Linked DNA regions of Lytechinus pictus. The protein of the gene in region 2 binds, or shares a complex with, the protein of the main gene of each other region. Links are inferred from orthologs where the notes say so. Each region holds a gene or a part of one and is shown on either strand. Other genes may lie near its edges.

Region 1 (10,326 bases), on a different chromosome or scaffold from region 2:
TCTTATTTGAAATGCGATTTTGATAAAATTTTCAGCATTATGCTTGTCTGAATTTTGTCTCGCCTGCGTAGCGGAGCGAGACATAGGTATCACTATTCAACTTTCTATAGCTTCGAGGTGGGATCACCAAATTCATACCAGAGGTCCATCTCCTGAAGGCACAGGTCAAGTTCGAATATGAGTCAAATTGGAATAAGGTCAAATGTCAAAGGTCAATGAACTTTCCATGACTGGCAATGTGCTGTGTTGTACACATAATAGCTTTGTACCCCCAATAACTTTATATAGCTTTGAGGTGGGATCACCAAATTCATACCAGAGGTCCATCTCCGGAAGGCACAGGTCAAGTTTGAATATGAGTCAAATTGGAAGAAGGTCAAAGGTCAATGAACTTTCCATGACTGGCACTGTACTGTGTTGTACACATAATAACTTTCTATATCTTCGAGGTGGGATCACCAAATTCATACCAGAGGTCCATCTCCTGAAGGCACAGGTCAAGTTCGAATATCAGTCGAATTTGAATAAGGTCAAAGGTCAAAGGTCAATGAACTTTCCATGACTGGCACTGTGCTGTGTTGTACACATAATAACTTTCTATATCTTCGAGGTGGGATCACCAAATTCATACCAGAGGTCCATCTCCTGAAGGCACAGGTCAAGTTTGAATATGAGTCGAATTGGAATAAGGTCAAAGGTCAATGAACTTTCCATGACTGGCACTGTGCTGTGTTGTACACATAATAACTTTCTATATCTTCAAGGTGGGATCACCAAATTCATACCAGAGGTCTATCTCCTGAAGGCACAGGTCAAGTTCGAATATGAGTCGAATTGGAATAAGGTCAAAGGTCAAAGGTCAATGAACTTTCCATGACTGGCACTGTGCTGTGTTGTACACACAATAACTTTCTATAGCTTCGAGGTGAGATCGCCAAATTCATAACAGACGTCCATCTCTTGAAGGTACAGGTCAAGTTTTAATATGAGTCGAATTTGAATAAGGTCAAAGGTCAATGAACTTTCCATGACTGGCACTGTGCTGTGTTGTACACACAATAACTTTCTATAGCTTCGAGGTGAGATTGCCAAATTCATTCAAGAGGTCCATCTCTTGAAGGTGCAGGCCAAGTTCAAATGTGAGCCGAATTTGATTAAGGTCAAAGGTCAATGAACTTTCCATGACTGGCACTGTGCTGTGCTGTACACACAATAACTTTCTATATCTTCGAGTTAGGATTGCCAAATTCATACAAGAGGTCCATCTTTTGAAGGTGCAGGTCAAGTTCAAATGTGAGTTGAATTTGATTAAGGTCAAAGGTCAATGAACTTTCCATGACTGGCACTGCTGTGTTGTACACACAATAACTTTCTATAGCTTCGAGGTGGGATCGCCAAACTCGTAACAGAGGTCCATCTAAGTCATATAGCATACATGTAGTTTTGACATGCAGTCTCTTCATGACTGCAATATGCAGGCGAGACAACGCTTGGCGTTTGCCTTGTTCTCTATTGATTTAAATAAACATTTTTTTCTGAAGTGGACCTGACCTTTAAGCGCCGTGCCGGGAATCGAACCCGGACCTCCATGGTGTGTAGTCGGGTGCCTTAGAACACTAGGCCACGACACCTCCACATATAGTTGTAGGAGGACTTAGGGGACCAAAGTGCACCCTTTTGTCATAAGTGGCGCCCAAAAGTGTGAAAAGTGGAGAAAGTGAAGAACTTAAAAGAAGAGGCGGAAAAAAAAGGAGAAGAAGAAGTAAAGGAGAATGAATTAATGATAATGAAACAAAGGAAGGGAAGAATGGGGGGAAAAGGTTCACTAGGGCCTATAATATAGAAACCTGTCAACTTAAAATGGAAAGTGTCATTGCATTGAGAAGATAATGAAATTAAAAACTGTACAATTTTTATATTCGCTAGATGGTATTCATTTGTCTCGCAATCTACTATGGTCAACAAGGAAATTCGTGATCACTCTCGCAAAAAGTGTTCTTTAGCTTTCGAGTGCCGCTGCAACTCTTTATCCTTGTTGACCATAGTAGATTGCGAGACAAATGAATACCATCTAGCGATTATTTCATTCCGCAATAATGAACCTATTTAGTATTATTTTATATTTAGACCTAAAAAGGGACATTATAAGCAAATTTTTGTAAACATAATACGTACGTGTCTTACTAAACAAACAATGCAAGCGCGAAGCGCGAACTGAAATATTTGTATAATATTGTCCCCAAACAGGGACATTTTAAGGACTTTTTTTTTGGGGGGGGGGACTCCATTAAGAGTATATATCTCACCATATTCATCTGATGCGAGTTCAAAGCGTTTGCTGATTTTGTTAGAATTACATCTAAACACAATCATGAAGCACCTATTCATACGCGTCTCACCAAACAAATATTGCGAGCGCGAGCTGAATTCAGATCTGAAGAGGGGCATCCTAAGGCTTGTTTGTATAGGAATTCACTAACCAAATGATGCGAGCGCGAAGCACGAGCTGAAAATTGTTGATATTCCGATCAGAAAAGGGGACATTTTAAGGACGGATTTTAGGAATTCATGAAGGTTAGACATATCTCACCAATCCACATAATGCGAAGGTAAGCACTGTCTGGAAATGTTTTATAATCAGACCTTAAAAGGAGGCAAGCAAGTCTTGAAAAAGAAGCATATGTCACTACATAAAACGATAATATCTCGGCGAGGAAATATATTTAGTGTATACTGACTTGAAAACGGGATGTTTTAGCACAACAGGGTAATATATATATCTCCATACCACATCATGGTATGAACAAGATTTTTTTATGATTGTGGCCCCGAGCATTGCCATAGAGCTAAGCTCATTGCGTGACAAGTACAAAAAAAGGGAGGCACAGTATGGCGCACGCAGCAAAAAATTGCTTAATATAAGTCCCGAGCTTGTACCTTGTACCTTGCAGTTCTATTCCCTGAAGTCCTCCACCAGGAAGGGTAACTCAGGGCTGACGAGAGTGGGAGTACTGTTACTCTGTTTTGTTTTGTTGCATGATTTGCATGTTTAGTTTTACTTTAAGTATATCAGTGCTGTTGGAGGATACCGTATCGGATGTGAGACTATTCCAGTGGGAGATTGCTTCAGGGAAGAAGTAATTAGCCAGTTGGGTAGTTGTGATGAACTTTGAAGTGACGTCTGTTCAGACGTCATACAGTTCATCATGGGATCTTCTTAATCTTGTTATTTTTCTTGTGGCATATTTATTTAAGTCAAGTTGAGTTTCTCCATGGATGATCTTATATAAGTTGATGATTCGGTGATTTCGCCTCCTTTCTTCGAGAGACATCCAGCCAAGTGTTGTCATTATGTTTGTAACGCTGGATCCCCGTGTGTAGTTCCCTGTGACGAATCGGGCGGCTCGTCTCTGAACCATTTCCAGCAATTTGGTGTTCTTGATTGTGCCTGGGTGCCATGCTATCGAAGCATATTCCAGGTGGGGTCTAACAAGTGTGTGGTATAGACGTTCTTTCACTGTTTTAGAGCAGTGATAGAAGTTCCTTCTGATGAAGTTTAAAGCCCTCGTACCTTTGGCGGATGCCTGTTGTGACTGCTTATCCCATTTTAGGTTGTTTTCTATAATTATGTATTCCTAGGTATTGATGGCTATTTACTTCCTGAAGTTGTTGACCAAGGAGTGAGTAATTGGTATGTCCTGGTACTCGCTTTCTGGAGATCCTCATCGGAGGGGTTGGATATTGCTCGGTAGAGTATGCAGTCATCTGCGAACAGTCTTGCCGTGCTGTGAACTGCTTCTGAGAGATGGTTTATGTACAAAATGAAGAGGTGGGGCCCGAGGACTGTTCCCTGTGGAATACCGCTTAGGACTGGTAACCAGTTTGATGTTTTACCATTCACTACTGTTCTTTGATATCTCTGGGTCAGGAAGGATCTTATCCACTCAAGGGTCTTGCTACGGATGCCATACAAGTGAAGTTTCTGCAACAATTTCTTGTGGGGGACGACATCGAATGCTTTGCTGAAGTCGAGTATTGCGATGTCACATGTCTCCTTGTTGTTGTGATGAGTAGCAAGATCATGGATTGTGGCAACTAATAATGTGTCACATGATCTACCCCGTCTGAAAGCATGCTGGTAGTCAGAAAGGATTGAGTTTGTAGTAAGGTGTGTCATTAGATGGCTGTCAACTATATGTTCCATAAGTTTGCAGCATACACTGGTCAACGATATAGGGCGATAATTAGCTGGTTCATTTTTAGGACCCTTCTTGTAAATAGCAGCGATGTTCGCTTTACGCCAATCCTCAGGAAGGATCCCTTGGTCATATGACTGTTTAAATATGAATTGCAGGACTGGGGCTATTTCTTCAGCTGTAAGTTTAAGAACACGGTTTGGTATGCTATCTGGTCCTGCGGCCTTTGAGACCCCGGGGGGGGGGGGCACTCAATATATAATGCATAGTGGGTATGTGCCGCGGAGGGGACCCCCATTTTTACACTCAAATTTCCGTTCCAAGGCATAGCATTTTTGTCTTATTGAGAAAAAGAACAAAGAAAGCCGCTCCAAAGCATAGCATTTTCTTCTTATCGAGAAAAAAGAATAGAGAAATCCGCTCCAAAGCTTCGCATATTTTTCGTTACGCCGTTCCGGTCGCATTGATCTGCTACAAGGAGCTGCAATTTTGGTGAAAAGCGGCCGCAGAGCGCTGTCCGACCATCGCCGCTTCTGCGCGAGCGCACCCGGCGGAGGCCGCGCTAGCTGTATCATGCACGCATGCCCGTTCCATAGGGATGCATGCGCACTCATCACACGCTGGCGATCCGTTCCAAGGACCCCCGTTTTCACAAACATTTGTAGTTCCGAAGCCCGTTCCGAGGACCCTCCTTTTTACAATTAGCCCGCTCCAAGGCCCCCGTTTTTTGTCTCGCCCGCGGCACACCCCTACCACTTTTTTGGTCGAGTGCCCCCCCCCCCCCGGGTTTGAGACATCTAACTTGTTCAATAGCTTGATGATGCCACTAACCGTGATGTTGATATCTGGCATATCAGGGATGTTATATTCTTGTTGGAAGGTTGGGGATTTGGGTTTCGTCTCTTGAGAAGACGCTCTGGAACTGTTCGGCCAGTGCGTCTGCTTTCCCTTGGTCATCAGTGATGATTTCGTTTCCCTTCTTAAGGCTCTGGATCCCTACGTTGTCTTTGCGCCTGGTTTTGATATATTTCCAGAACTGTTTATTACCGAGCGAAGCGAGCGAGAAAAAAAGTCACCTTTTCATAAGAATCTAATTTTGAGATTGATTTTGACATGGTATTAAAAAAATATATATTTTACATCTTCCTTTCCTTTTTTTTCATCTTTTCTTTTTTTTTTGGTTCTCGGTTGTAGAGCTTTTGGGGGCCAGTGATATGCGGATCGGGTCCGGGGCAATGGCGGCACCAGGATTGTTAACCGGGGGAGGGGGGCAAAATAGCATTTTTTGGGGGGGCAACACACAAATGGTTTGCCTATTTCTCAAAATCGAGCGAGAAGCACGAGCTGATTTTTTTTTATGTAGACCCTACTGACTTGAAAAGGGACCTGTTAAGGACTAGCTGTTTGCATTGGGTCAATCATGAAGATGATATCTCACCAAATAAATAATGCGAGCGCGCGAAGCTCGAGCTGAAAATTTTTGACATCCTGAGATGATAACTGGACGTTCTAAGCACTTTTTGCAATCATGGGCTGGATGGCTATTTAATCCAACAATAAAATTGATGCGAGCGCGTAGCGCGAGCTGAACATTTTTCATTTATGAAAATTATGAAGATTTTTCCAAATCTAAAGAACGAAAAAGCTGTTTTGGAGCACTTAGCAGCTTTAGTAGGATGCTTATGACAACATTTACTATACATTTTTTTTTCAAAATTCGGGGGGGGGGGTGCAACTCACTGGGGGCAAATGCCCCCTGTGCCTTCCCCTTTTCCTTTTTCCTCTTTTCTTCATTTCTTTCTTTCTTTCTTTCCCCTTCTCTCTTTCTCTTTTTTTTTTCTTTTTCCCATTTTGTTATTTTCCCGGTGAAATCCGCCAGAGGGGGCAGCTTGCCCCCCCCCCCCCCCGCCTGTTACGCCACTGGTGAGTGAACGAAGAAGACAAGCGGGAAAGGAAATAAAAGGCGGTCAGAAATAAATAAGAAAATATAAGGAAAATTAGAGTGGAAATTGGAAAGTAGAAATATAAGAGGAAATTAAGAAACCATGCACGGCAAGAACCAAACTGCAAACAATCCTAAGACTTGTCTTTTTTTTTCTTTTTTGTTGTTGCTATATTGGTGTCTCAGCGACACCATCCTAAGGAACATCCAGCGTCAAACTAAGTTTTTTTCCTCGATACAAAACTCCTTTTAAAAGTGAGAATGTCTGAAAGGCTGAAGTCAATAAGAGCGCGGTCCTCCCAGCGGAGAAAAATCCTTGCCCAGCAGGTGAGTCTAAATTTGTTTATATAGTCGGTGTTACCACGTCAATTTACACACAACATTCTAACTTAATACAAGTTACAGAAAAAGGAAACACGGATCTTTACGCGTGGGGCAATGCAAATTCAAGCCGTTGTCTACGTCGCTCGTCGCCGAAATGCAGCCAATGTCCACCCAGGCCAAGGGTTCATTACATGCCGCCGCGCACAGAAAAATCAAGCCATAGAAGTCGTGTGTTGTGGACCCAAGAAGTGAGATCCCAGCACGCGCGACCCACTAGTTAGAAATCCACTGCCAAACGAGGTTCGTGGTGCGAGGTAGTAATAGTAATACTAACCTCGCAATACCGGTACGTGTGAGTGGCCAATGGCAATGTCGAGCCCTACTTAAGGTCTCGTGAAACTTTTAATAGCAGAGACTAGAGGCGCATGGCCAATAATGGGAGACTGTCACCATCATCATGATCTTGTTCTCTTTGTTATTAGCTTAGCTACGAGACGCATATAGAGGGCGGCAACATCATGGGTAAGGATCTTAAAAAGTTAAAGACTTTAGAATATAATTAATAAACCACAAATTATTAGCAAAAAATAATTTGTCCAAATATTTAAATTGGCATAGTTTTTATCATTTGTAAACAAGGTGCGTAGCTTTAGGTCACCCCATCATACATTATCAATTTTATTTTTGAACAAATATTCATTCAAAAACCAAAAAATGTATAATGAGAAGATGGGAGAAAACTTACCGATGTTTACGGCATGATGTTGCCGCCCTCTATATGCGTCTCGTAGCTTAGACAGCTGGCAGCCGTCTGTTTCGAGGAGTTTTTTAACATTTTTTTATTTTTTAAATTTCTCCTCGTACACAGACGGCTCGCTATCGTGCAGCCACCATTAGGGGACTTACAATGCAAAATCCCCATGTCGGGGCTCTTCAATTTTTGTCTTTAATGAATCAAACTTTTGAAAATTAATCCAACCGAAATGCAAATTAATATTCCCTCTTGGCATTAATTGCCCCAAAAACGGGGAAAATCAAGTTAAAAGGAACAAAAACAGTGACTTACCTCGGCTGTTGCGCAACTTCACTGCCCTGTTTTATCCGAACTTAATGCACATAAACATATGGCCATTGAGTCCCCTGTACAGATCGCGCTAGAACTTCGGTCTCTGTATTTGGTGAGTGAAGCCAACGGAGTTCAGCTGAACAACCAACATAACAGAGACCGAAGCTTTTGGTCTACTCGTAGCTAAGCTAATAACAAAGAGAACAAGATCATGATGATGGTGACAGTCTCCCATATTGGCCATGCGCCTCTACTATCAAAGTACACACCCGAAGAATCAAAACTATTTTATAATTAATTTTTGTGGTCATCATTGTAAAGGGGAAGGATTACTTATCATATATCTAACTTCACTTTTTGAAATAGTGATTAGAGTTTGCAGAAATCGGCTCTCAAAAATGATTTATTTTCATGCCATATTTCTGCCTTCCACCGGTCCTCTTGCGAGCTCCAGCTGAGTGACGTCACACAATGAGCGGTGAGCAGCTGAGCTGACAGCAGCCCATTGAAAACGACCTTTCCAATCAGCGTTTTTTGCTCTTAGAATTGTTTATTCCTCATAAGATTGGTCTTGTTATATAGATAAAAGTTTGAATTTACTGAACAATGAAATAAAATGCACATTTAACGTATTTTGGTAACCGATATTTAGCTTAGAAAAAATGATTTTTTTTTTCAAGAAATATATGTGAATAAACAAAGCACATTTTCACTTAGAAATCACACTTGCGTCACATTAATATTATAATCAATATAAAGCATAGACATTCTTCTTCACGCCTGAACAAAAATTATGAAATTTCATTACGTAGCAAAGTCAGGAACCACAAAAAACACGGTAATATCCATCACGAAATGATTGGAATTGCAGTTGAATTGCCGAAGCATTATGAGGCAACAGTGGCGAACGGACTTTGTTTCATATATCCTTAAAAGCCCCAGTGCGAGTAAGAAGCGGTCTGTGGCCAAACCGGTAAAACGTTATTTTGATGAGTACGAGGACCCTGGTTCGAAACTCGTGATATTTTTTTGTTCGGGGATTTTTTGTAAAATCATTTTATTCCTTCCCCATTCCTACCCAGCTCTTTTTTTCTCTTTTTATTTTCATGTGAGATTCTATTCAGACCTGCATTTATTAAATCGTACTTAATTGCTGCTTTTGATTTTCAAGTTCTTGATTAGATTCTGCACTTATTTGGGCAGGGATGGGAGGGGTAGAGGATGAGTTAAATGTCAAGTCCACATCAAGTAAAAATTATTTGAATAGAGTAATTTCCCTTGTTTTTTTACTCAAAACAGTTATAAACACAAAACAATGACATGCACATTAGAGTTGATTATGTCACATCTTATTCATTTCAAATTTTGTTAAGCATTTTATTTTTTATTATTTAATTTGAATCAGTTTTTATGAAATTTTCTGAATATTTTTTTTTTGTAATCAAATGAATTTTTGGTTGGGTGGACTTCTCCTTTACTCTTCACATGGAATACATAGCAATATTTATCCAGAAACAAAATTGTCTTAAAATGTGCAAACCAGTAATTGGACACATGTTCACTTTCCTTTCATCCAGGCCACTTCCTCGATCACATCCACCAGGCTTACAGTCTTATAACAAACATGATGCACCATCACACAACTGCAAACAACATTCACAGTGCTTCACAATAAATATTTCACTTTTGTTCATACATGCAATGAATATTGTGGAAAACAATAACAGGCATACCCATATTCCAATATCATTTAAAAGGACAAATATATTATACCTTTCGAGAAAAAAATTCTGACGATATATACACGACACTTAACTTTCAGCAATCAGCATGGTATATAACTGATACAGAGTTGCTAACAAAGTATAACTTTGGGGCTTTGCAAGAAACTTATGTTCAAAGCGTTAGTCTCAAATTCAAATTCAAGTGTAATAAGGTCGAGTTGCACGTGCAATTCAACTACATGTTTGTGTTTAATCAAAGGACTTACCCTTGATTTGGGACGTGTGATTGAGTAGAAAATTTCTCACAAAATGCCCTAGTTACATTACAATTGTTCTTTCGTTTTAAATTGTGTTCCTATTTTTGACAAGCTGTATTCCTGTACAATTCAATGTTATAGTCCTCTCCAAAACTGCTCTAAATTGTTGTTTCCAAGATCAATTAAGATTATTATCAGTCCATAACTTGCAAACCGTAGCTCCAGGAAAGCAGAGTGAAGAAAAAATGGCTACATGTCCATATCAGAATCTCCCAGATTGAAGTAGTAAGCAGAGACCAGAGTCAGCAAGTGTGCAGATCTGTATGTAGAAGAGAGAGAGAGAGAGAAAAAAAGAAATAGTCTAAATAATCAAAGTATGAATTTTATTTATTGATGATTAAGGACTACAAGAAATACTGTCTTCAACAGCCACAATATTTTTGAACAAACTGGTTAATAAATGTACTACAGGCTATTTTAGGAAGTATGTACGTACACTAGTAGGAAGCCTACCAGACATTTTTAGTTTGACTTTAATCAGTTTATATTCTAGTTTTGGTGCACAGATTGTCATCATCATCTGATACAGGAATAAGCCGGCGCAGTGGCATGTAATTCCTGGTCGACGATAAATAATAGTGGGTTTAGACTGAAAAGTTCTACTCGGAGCACCAGTGCTCTACCTCAAGTGATGTTCGTGTAGGCTCCACTCCACTTCACTATCGCTACATTACATGTACGCTACCCGGGTATAGGTGTAGCGTAGTGTAGCGGTAGTGAAGTGGAGCCTACACGAACATCACTTGAGCCGTGCTCT
Region 2 (10,633 bases):
GCACCTCAATAAATCAAAATATAAATAAAACACTGAAGAACAAATGGTAGGCACTAGGCAGTGATCCAATGGCACCACTCAGGGCACACACAAAATTGATGGTATCTCCAAAAACATTTTTCGCATGCTTCAAAGACATAAGTAAATGCTGTATAACACAAATGGTTTGTCAACTTTGATGTTCCAGTGAGAAATCAGTAACACAATCAACAAAAAATGATTTTTTTTCAATTTGACTCCAAGATTTTCTCTCATAGAACACAAACAATTAAAGCACATATTTCCAGATGATCTCTAAGTTAAGTGGTCATAAACGTGTACAGGATGCTGCAATTCATTTTAATTAAAATCAAATTTGGGCCATTTGTCAAAGGGAATGTTAATATTTCAACCATTCCCATCTGTAACTTCACTTCAAAGTATCAAAATAAAAAAATTTCAAAAGAATTTCGCTAATGTAAATGCACAAGTGATCTCCAAACTTCATAGAAGCTAAACTGCTCATAATTATGCACTTTAAAACCACTTTAAACAATGTAAAGCTGCGACAAACCATGAGATTCACATAACGTCACTTCTCCAAAGTAGTGTAGAACCACAAAATACAATTTCTTCATAGAAGATACAAAGGGTTTTCATATGGTTCCACTCCCATTGGAAGTATATCAAGTAAATCACATCACTGTAATAAACACAATGTATCTACATGTACATCTTGTAGCTGAAAGACTTGAGTGTTACTTCACAAAGCAACAGGGTTTTTTTTTCTCCTTGAAGGCATTTCAGGATCAAAACAAATTTACTCAAATCACAGAAGCATCCTTCCACTTGAACGCGCAGCTGAATTAATCATGTGTCATAATCGCTGTTACTCACATTACATTAAAAAAGATGCAATTTTGCTAAAATATCTTACCTTCAAAATTCAGCTTCTCAATCATCAGTGGAGATTGGAATTGTTGTCATGGCTGCAAATTTGAAGCTTTATTCTCAGTATGAGGATAGAGGAGTGGTGGATCAGGAACATTTTCAGAGAAGGGATGTGACAGATTTGTAACTGAACTGAGCCCATAAGATAAATTGTTCAAGATATTTTAAGGTGCATTTGACAGGTAGCTAATGGAAATGGGGAGCGTGCATTTGGGAGGGCAATCATTGCAGAATTCCATTTCACCAGTTGCTACAACTTGAAGACATTCCCATTCAACAACTGATCCGGTCATGATGGCCTTGCTACAAAATGAGATGCAAGCTTGTCCATTTTATGAACTGAAAGAGCGCCCATCGATGGCCATTGCAAACCAAGTATTTTGTGTGTTGCTTATCTTTAGAGTGCCAGTTATGCAACAAACAGTAAGAAGTTCTTTCATGAAGAAAAAGTATGCCCAACTCGCATACATGTACTACATTTAGTGTATCCCAAAAAATAATTATGCTGAGAGTAAAAGAGTAAATTACATTGTCATGCATTTAAAATTCAAATTGCGATAATTTAATTAATAGAAAAAAAACTCATTGAATATACATGTTGTCTCATATACGCTGTCTTGATGAAAAGGATATACTGTACAGGGGACTATGAAATATTCCATTTACAATTTCATGAATTTCAGTAGAAATGAACATTACATATTTGATCACAAACTGCAATGGTTATGGTCATCAAATTTTTGTTTTTCACATGTAACTCTAGGATAAAAAATCCCATAGGATCTTAGTTTCACTTTTACTCTATAACAGCCAATGCGAAAAGAGCTGAATAGGCAGATTTCTTTTATTCTGGCTGAGTGTAAAGTCAAGTTCAGGGTAAATATTCAGTATTGTCAAAAATCACTGACCGGATCTGTATTTCTTTTAAGCTAGAAATCATATTAGCAATGATAATGTAACACAGAAATATTATTCAACAAAATAGAAATAGGCTTAAAAAGTTCAAATAACAGTACTGAAAATAAAGTATTATTGAAAAATGATTTTGAATTCACAAAGTAGAATACGTTTTTGATTTCTGTCCTGCCATTTAGGCCATGTTTAGGGGTTGACTCATCGGGATGCAAATATCAGTACAAAGTTACTTCAACATAATAAACAACTTGTTATAATCTACTTCCTAATACTTCATCAATCACACATTTTAAAACAATTGCATAAGATATTTCATCACTAATTACAAAATATACACAATTTTGCCAAGCATTCTTATCTGAAATATGACAAATACAAGTGTGCATGTACATGCATGAAAAGATTCCCAATTGAATGTTAAGAAGTTTTATTTTTTTATTCATTTCTAATTCTATAACTTTACACACTACATACCAAGGCAAATTATTTAGTTAAATTACTCTAAAAACATATTAAAAACCTATGCTGCCCCCTTCACAATGATCACAACAAGATGATCCTCTTTGCAAGGATCTGGGCCTAAACCAGGAGCAATATCAAGAAGGTACTTGTGACTGAATTCACATGGTGGAAAGGCATGAAGGACACCAACGTTATCCTTATTTTGCTCTCCACTAACTGGTAGGCTGATAACTCCAGCAGCTTTCTTCTGCTGAAGGTAAGTAACCAAGTTCACCAAGGCACGTGCCTGGGTTCCAGATGGTAAAGAGTCTGAATCTTCACTTGTTCCAGCGAAAGAAAGCAAAATTGCATGACCACTAGATCCAGCTTGCGAGATTCTTTTGCCCACTTCATCAAGCTTAGGTTGATCTAAACGTAAGCGCTGTGTGATCCTCAAGGCAGACTCATCACTTCCTAAGTCATGTGGCAGCAGAGCTTCAGCAGTGTCTGCATCTCCTCCTACCAAAAACATGCGAGTAGCAAATGCACTGTTCTTCAACACCAAATGACCTCTCCAAGACATTGGTAAGTAATTTAGAAGATCAGACAAGTTATCTAAACTATCTGGAATTCTGGAGCGCCTACTACCTCGCTTTCGACGACGTTCCATGGGTTGACTACCAAAATCCTGGTCAGAAAGATCACTACTTATGGATCGTTGACGGCGTACACGGCCATCTGGTGAAGCATCCCAATCACGCCCATGTGAAGAATCTCTAGGTTTCCTTCGCTCAGGAGACCAATCACCACCAGGGGACCTACGGCGCTTAGATGCTTTCACATTGCTTGGTGACCAGTCATCCCTACCAGCGAAATCATCAGGGGATCCATTTCGCCTTCTACGATTATCACCTCGTTGCATCATTCTTCCTGATTGGTCATTGTCCCTTCGGTTCCAGTTATCATTTTTGTATCGACTACCAGACTGCCAGTTCCCACGACCTCCATCAAAACCTCCTCCCCCTCCTTGCCACTGATCAGATCCATCACGAAATGATGGAGGTGAAATATCTCGACCAATATCTCTGTCTTGATTGTAACGATTGTAGCCTCTGCCACCTGAGCCATCATCATGGTTGGGTGGTCCTTGGTATGGTCTAAACTGCTTTTTAGTTGTCTGGATGCCAGGCCCATGTTCAGCAAAGTCTACCCGAAGTCGTTTGTCTGGTCCTCCTAAAGGAACACCACGCATGTGGCTGGCAGCTGCCTGGGCTGCTTCTACAGTTTCATACTGGACGTACGCAAATGAATCACCTTTAATATAATCAATCTTTCTAATTGCTCCAAAGCGATCAAACTCTCTTTCCAGCACACCCAATGTGATCCAAGGCCCCAAACCTCCAACCCATAGACAATTTGTTGGAGACTGTTTTCCATATCCTGTCTTGCACTGATTCCTCCCAATGTACTGGCCAGACATAGAGATTATTGCCTTATAAGCCATATCCAAATTTTCAAATTTCACAAAAGCAAAAGGATTTCCCTGGCCTCGAGGTGGATACTTGATGTCAATTTCTTCAACAAAGCCATATCTCTCAAAATGCCTTCTTATCTCACTTTCTTGGATACCATCTTCCAAGTTACCACAAAACACTGTACGTGTAGCCTTTGGGTCATCCTCAGGCAAAAATGTTGCATCACGGTCTCTATCACGACCTTGATTTTGGTGATACCCATCATTTCCATAGTTACGGGAATTTGATTCATATCGATTAAAATCTCTATCTCTTCCTCTGCCGCCACCACCACTACTGCCCATATCCTGCCTGTAATTCTTTCCTTGCATTCCACCACGTCTCCCTTGAAAATCATTTTGTCTATTATTCATGTAACCACCATCATGCCCTTGCCCCTGATTATGATTTGTTTTATTTACAATTGCTACAATGTGTAACGGTCTTGCAAACAATGTAAGACGATCACCACGAGCTTGCATTGCATCTCTAGCCTGATCTGGTAGTCTAAATCTCACATAAGCAATCCGCTCATTTTTTGCTTGACTGAACACAACACGCACATTTACTTCACCATATTTCTTAAATTCATGAAAAAGAGCATCTCTAATTGCTGTATCAGAAACATGAGAAGGGAAATTTGTGATTCTTAAACAATCTGGTTCTTTCCTCTGAAAGCCATCACTTTGGAAGTTTTGAGGACGATCATAATTCTGCGGGCGATCATAGTCATCGCGGGGTGGTGGACGCCTATCGCCGCCGGTCCCACGCCTGCCACCGTCATCTCTCTCCATGCTCCTCATTCGCCCTCCCATTTTTGCACCTCCCCTACCATCATACCTGTCACTCCCAGGGCTCATTCTATCTCGATCTGGCATTCGCTGCATTTCAGGACTATCCCTCACCCTCCTCATAGGTTTTCTACCCTGCTGACGATCCATTTGCAGTAAATTTCACAGCAATTCAGAAAGTTAAACTCCTTCCTGTTTCATGCTTTATCAACTACACTGAGCAAATATGGCCGCTTATTCTGCGTTGCATCCGGGTATGTGCGCATAGTCTTATCACCAGACAATGTACACTGTAAAAAAAAATTCTGAATCGGTAATTAACACTTAATATATTTAAGTAGAATATACAATTTGTAATTATTTTTCGTTTTTAAGTAGTTAAGTAGTTTTAACTTGTCTTTTAATTTACTTGATTTATTTGGGTTCAATATACATTTAAGAAAATTCACGTATTGATAGCTTGCTTTGATTGAGTAAATCTAACTCAATTAGGCAAAGATGAGTACTACTTATAAAATCAAGTTGAATGTACTTATATTTTTCAATTAACGCCATATTTTAATAATGCATGAATATTCATTAGAGCAAGTAAATGTTGTTGTTTTTTGTTAATAATTGTCATATCTATTTGTGTCTGAAATTGTTTTGGATAAGGGTGTGCTAACTAATTTAATCTTTTGTTGAATCAAAGAAAGAGCAACATTAAAAGTCATTTAGCAGAAAATTTCAGATTCTTTTTAGGTTTTCGATGCTTATATTATTCTCACTGTTTTATTTGTAAGAATGAAACGATCACATATAATTTCAAAAGATGTACGAACCCAAACACGAAGGGTAAATATGATTTACTATCAGTTTCCATTGAAAACGATTTTTAAAAAATGCCTTTCGCCAGCCATCGCAAGGCATATTTCAGGCAATTCGGTTAGGGGTGAGGGGGCCTTTAGACGAATCCAAACGTAGTCATACGATGTGTGAGAGAGGAGAAAATAAGTAAAACGGATTGGTGAAAGTTTGCAAGGAATCTTACAAGTAATAAGACAGTTATAGTTGTTTTGAAATTAAGATCCCCAAGAAATTTAAAATTGACAACTTGGTTAGTAAATGTTGACAATAATTTTCCATATTCATCAATTCAAATAATTATAACTTACCTCATTTACTTTACCATTTCATGCCTACTCAACTTATTTTCCCTTTTCAGCATTTAAGTTCTGCTCTAATCTTACTTTCTTTATTTCTTTTCATTTTTGTTTTTAAATCCTTCGTGTTTGTTTCCCTTTTCTTTTCTTTTTCTTTTCTTCCCCTGTTCTTCGTTTTTTGTTCTTGTGCTGTTTTATGTTTTGTTACCTCTCTGTCTGTCTTTGTAGACAATTCTACAATAATTATTTAGAGGGGTCCACACACTACAAGCATTTAGTTTGCTTTTGTTGCTTAGTGGATCCCTCCATTTTCTCAGATCTTTATAATGTTTATAATAATTGTTTTTATATAATACTTTGTTTTACTTATGGTAAAATATCGCATATTGTACATATACCTCAATGTAAATTGTTTGTATAAGTTTCATTTGCAAATGTCATTGTAATAATTTATGACCATTTTATTTCTGTTGAAAATCGAATAAAACCAAATTTGAAAAAAGGGAAAAATCGGGGATTTGTGGTTTACAAAATTACTGAAACTTCCGTCCATAGGAACATTCCCTCCCTAAAATAGTATTCTAAAAAAGCACTTCGAGCTGCCAACCCGGGGAGAATATTCTTTGAATGAAAATAATCCTGCCCCCCCCCCCCATTAGCAGAAGACGCCTGCAGTGTAGAGAACCTGTGTAGTTACTCGCATATCAACTTTATGATTAGTCGGCAGACCTTTATACTTTATACTGTTTTAAAGTATTCTTTTATTGCTTCTTCCAGTGAATACAAACACAAACTGATAAATTTCATAACTTCATAAATGATACATCATAATAGCTTCAGCTCCATCAAAGAACCAGTAAATAAGTAAAATTCATAAACATAAATTCACAAATTAATCCATTCATTTTCCAATTCACTTGAAGAAATTAAGAAGTATAAGACAGAAAAAAAAGAATAATAAACACTCCCGCACATCCCACACACAAAAATAATAAATCCTTGTCCTTCAGGTCCCCTCCTTCCCCACCCGCCCTCCCCCGGCCGCTAAAATCTATACCCCCCCCTTACGAAATCCTGGATCTGCCCCTGCCCTATATAGATACTGACCTTCGCATGTATGCATGCACGTTATCGATTATCTTGTTTCCTTCCTAATGTAATTTTGAAACGTCCTTCGTTTGATTGTTTTAACCAATTAGTGCGCCTATAACCTATTTCTCACCTTTCCAATATTTAAAAAATACAGCAACCCCCCCCCCCCACCCCCGGTGGACCGGAGAGGGGATAATATATCACCTCATTATCAGAGTGTGTTGCGAATGATACATGTAATTCTGGCATAACAAAGGATATACATATATAGATATATGCATATTGTCCTCAATAGTTGGTTTGGATTTTGGAGGGCTCAACAATTGAATGTAACAAAGCAGAAGAAAACGCAATTACCCCATGGAAGGGGGGGGCTCTCAATTAAGATGTACATGTACTTATGTGTTATCTGACTCCATTATTTTTCCATCGTAGAACACCCCAGGATCTTATTCACGAATGTACCAGACGTTAAAATTAAAGCACAACATGCAGCCTACAGTTTGAATTTTAAGAAAGGAAATTAGATAGTGTAAAATAATGTGCATTTCTTTCTTGTTTATTCTGTATGGCGTATATACGGCCTTCAAAATATTCTCTGTTTCTTTTATTTTATTTCCTTCGTCACTACTTTCTTCCGTTATTCCCAAATCTTCCCACCACCCAATAAAACTTAGCAAGTTAATCTATAAGGGTAGTATACCCAGAAAAATGTTATGGTATAGACCAATAAAAACTCGCACATAATATATAAATCTTTAATTTGCCATACATACAGTTTTTGAAGAAAATTTTAATTCCTTTTTATCAGGATTCTTACCAAAGTCTATGCGGGGGAAACTTTTGCAGCCAAACACAACAAAAAAGCAGCTCTCCTTTTTATAAAATATCTTTTTAATGAATCAAGATTGATCAATACAATTTGGCAGGAGTGCTTCATTTGCTAACTTGTGCCAAGAAATCTAATTGTCAAATCAAACATGAGTGAGCATGCATTATCGATCAAATTATTACTTTTTCAAAAATAACAGGGGTAATTTCTAATGCCAAAATTGAACATTTAAACAATAAAATATTTGATTATCTTACATCATGGTTGTAACCTTATCATGTTCATATGAAAATATAAACTATTTTGAAAATGATTTATTCATTTATTTAGTAATTTATTTGTCAATTTATTTACTTTCTTCATTTAAAATGCAAAATTTCAGAAAAGTTGGACATTATTTATTAACACACTTACTCATCTATCCACCTCTTACCCCCCCCTCTCTCTCTCTCTCTCACACACACACATATCACAATTTCCCCCTCTCTCTCTAAATATTTTATTTTCTCTACCGCACCCCTCCCTTTCTCAATTACTCATTCTCTTTCTTCCAGATCAGCTCCCCAGAAAATGGTCTTCTCCGTCTACCACATCTATTGTATGATAGCCTTTTGACAAGGCTCCACGGACATAAATGTGTTTTCACCATTGCACAACAATAAAAAAAAATAAAAGAGTTTTCTGCGGAAAATGTTCTCAAAAGAAGTAGATGAAATTAATCTGATTGTGTGGTTGGGTATTTATGAACTATACGGTTTTTGATAAAGATATCATGAAACACGGAGGGTAAAGGACCAGAATTCTAGGCATAAATTCACCAAGTTGAACTAAAAATAGATTTTTAAGATGTTATGTTCGAAGAATAGTGAGTCATTATGGGCGCATATATATGTGCCTTGCAAGAGAACTCTCTTTTGTAGTAATTAAATCCTTTCAACGAATGTTTGGTGTGAGCTGCCCCAAGCAAGAAGGCTGAAGTTCAAATATGGTAAAATAAGGGATGAGTAGAGCATGAATACAAAAGTGATTGTGGTTGATGTGATTTAAGTTTGTTGATTATACCGATAATGCGAGAGATTATTTTACAGATATTTTGAAGGTGTAATTTCCAGAAAAGTTTATTGTCTACTGAAACACAGATAAAATAAGTATGAGATACTTGTTTTAAAGGGGGTATTGTCAAAAATAATATCAGTGGGTAATAGGGAGTTACTAAACAAAAATATAATTCGTCTTCAGAAGATTAAGTGATATTAGCCCTTATCCGCTGTAATATGTTCCGTAACTGCATTAACAACATTAAAAAGAACATTGGGATAATTGTATAAAAAAATAAATTAGTATCATCTGCAAATGAAATGAATGACAAAAATTAAGTAGACCTATCATAATGGTAATCGTTTACATAAAGAACAGTGGCGGATCCAGAATCACAGGGGGCGCCCCCCCCCCCCTAATATAAAATCTAAATCGGCGCCGGACAAGAATAATCAGCGCCATTTGGTTATAAATCAGCGCCTGGTTCCAATAAATAGGCGCCGTTAGAATAATGAAGAAGGGCCTATTGCCAACCAAATCTAGATCGGCGCCGGTCAAGAATGATCAGCGGCACCTGGTTATACATTTATTGTTGAATGTTCATAACGAATAACAAAGCTTATCGCATGCCCTTACAGAGTGGACTGGGGAGGGGCAGTTGCCCACAGATGTCATGAAATCTTTAATTTGTTATTTAAAAAATCCCAGAATCATACAAAAGTGTAGAGCAAATCCTTTAATTTTGATCTTATATTCCAATGCTTTAATAAAAAAAAGGTCAGTCACTTTTCTTCTTTACACATTCCACATTGTGCCACCTCTATGGCCTTTAGTGTAAGACAGCTACTATCATGACTATAGTGTTTTATGAAGATGATTCGATATTTTAGTCCAAAACTTTGCTAAAACCCGTTGCTAATACCGGGAGTGTATAATTACGCAACCAGACGTATATTCGTTAGACCTTAAACCACTAAATATCATTTTCAATGTATAAATACAGTTTGTCAATGCCTTTGTTTTAACGTTTAAATGTTTACGCCACAAAATTTGATCTATTTTCATCTTCCATTAAGTTAAATATTATTCATCTGATCGCTCAGGAAGAAGTTAAACAAAAAATAAAGATACCTGTAGAACTGGAGAACTATTTCCAAAGCTCTGTCTTGAAGGATCTCTTTCTGAATTCAGGTCATAAGCATTATATCCAGTTTCATCAAAGCAATTAGATAAAAATTACTCATCATTACAAATTGCATTATATTTAGTGAAAAGCATCACAATATATATATATAAATACCAAATCTGTATATAGGCCTATACATCATGTACATGAAAATTGAATGATAATATATAAACCTGGATTGGTGATGTATTCCAAATGATTCATGATGTAGTATCATTGTAAATACAGAGGCGTCGGTCCTGGGGGGGGGGGGGCAGGGGGGCGATCGCCCCACCAATGAAAATATTGGGGGGGGAACATATCGTTTTGCCCCCCCCCCCCATGATTCCGCATGTGCAAAAATAAAATAAGATAGTAATGTTACACATAAATCAGCAAGCGAGATTGAGCTACACAACCCATTCTTTATCTAAAATCATGCTCAAATTGTCCGCTTTTCAGATTGGAATATAAAAATTTTCAGCTCGAGCTTCGCGCTCGCATCATTTCTGTAGCAAAACCCCATACTTTTCATGATTAAATAGGTGAATAGAATGTCCCGTTTTCAGTTCTAAACCTCAAAAGAACTCCCGCTTCGATTTGCAATAATCTTTTGTTGGATATAATCCTGTTCTTTATTAAACACTTCCATTAAACTGTCATTTTTTTTCAGATCGAAATATCAAAATTTTAAGCTCGCGCTTCGCGCTCGCATCTATTGTTTTTTTAGATACACATCTTAATCATTGGTACCAATAATGCTTAGAATATCA

The links.
Region 1: putative RNA-binding protein 15B (region 2) and N6-adenosine-methyltransferase non-catalytic subunit-like share a complex: the UniProt entries of both Drosophila melanogaster proteins name them as parts of the WMM complex. The link is inferred for Lytechinus pictus from reciprocal best matches to the Drosophila melanogaster genes nito and Mettl14.

Annotation. Positions count from the first base shown.
Region 1 is NC_087262.1:6,677,686-6,688,011, reverse strand, and holds the start of N6-adenosine-methyltransferase non-catalytic subunit-like, read left to right. Parts: upstream 1-6,320; 5' UTR 6,321-6,399; coding exon 6,400-6,465; intron 6,466-10,326. UniProt on the Drosophila melanogaster protein: Non-catalytic component of the WMM complex, a complex that mediates N6-methyladenosine (m6A) methylation of mRNAs, a modification that plays a role in the efficiency of mRNA splicing and is required for sex determination.
Region 2 is NC_087247.1:53,156,811-53,167,443, forward strand, and holds the start of putative RNA-binding protein 15B, read right to left. Parts: upstream 4,858-10,633; 5' UTR 4,742-4,857; coding exon 2,366-4,741; 3' UTR 917-2,365; intron 1-916. UniProt on the Drosophila melanogaster protein: RNA-binding protein that acts as an associated component of the WMM complex, a complex that mediates N6-methyladenosine (m6A) methylation of mRNAs. M6a modification plays a role in the efficiency of mRNA splicing and is required for sex determination.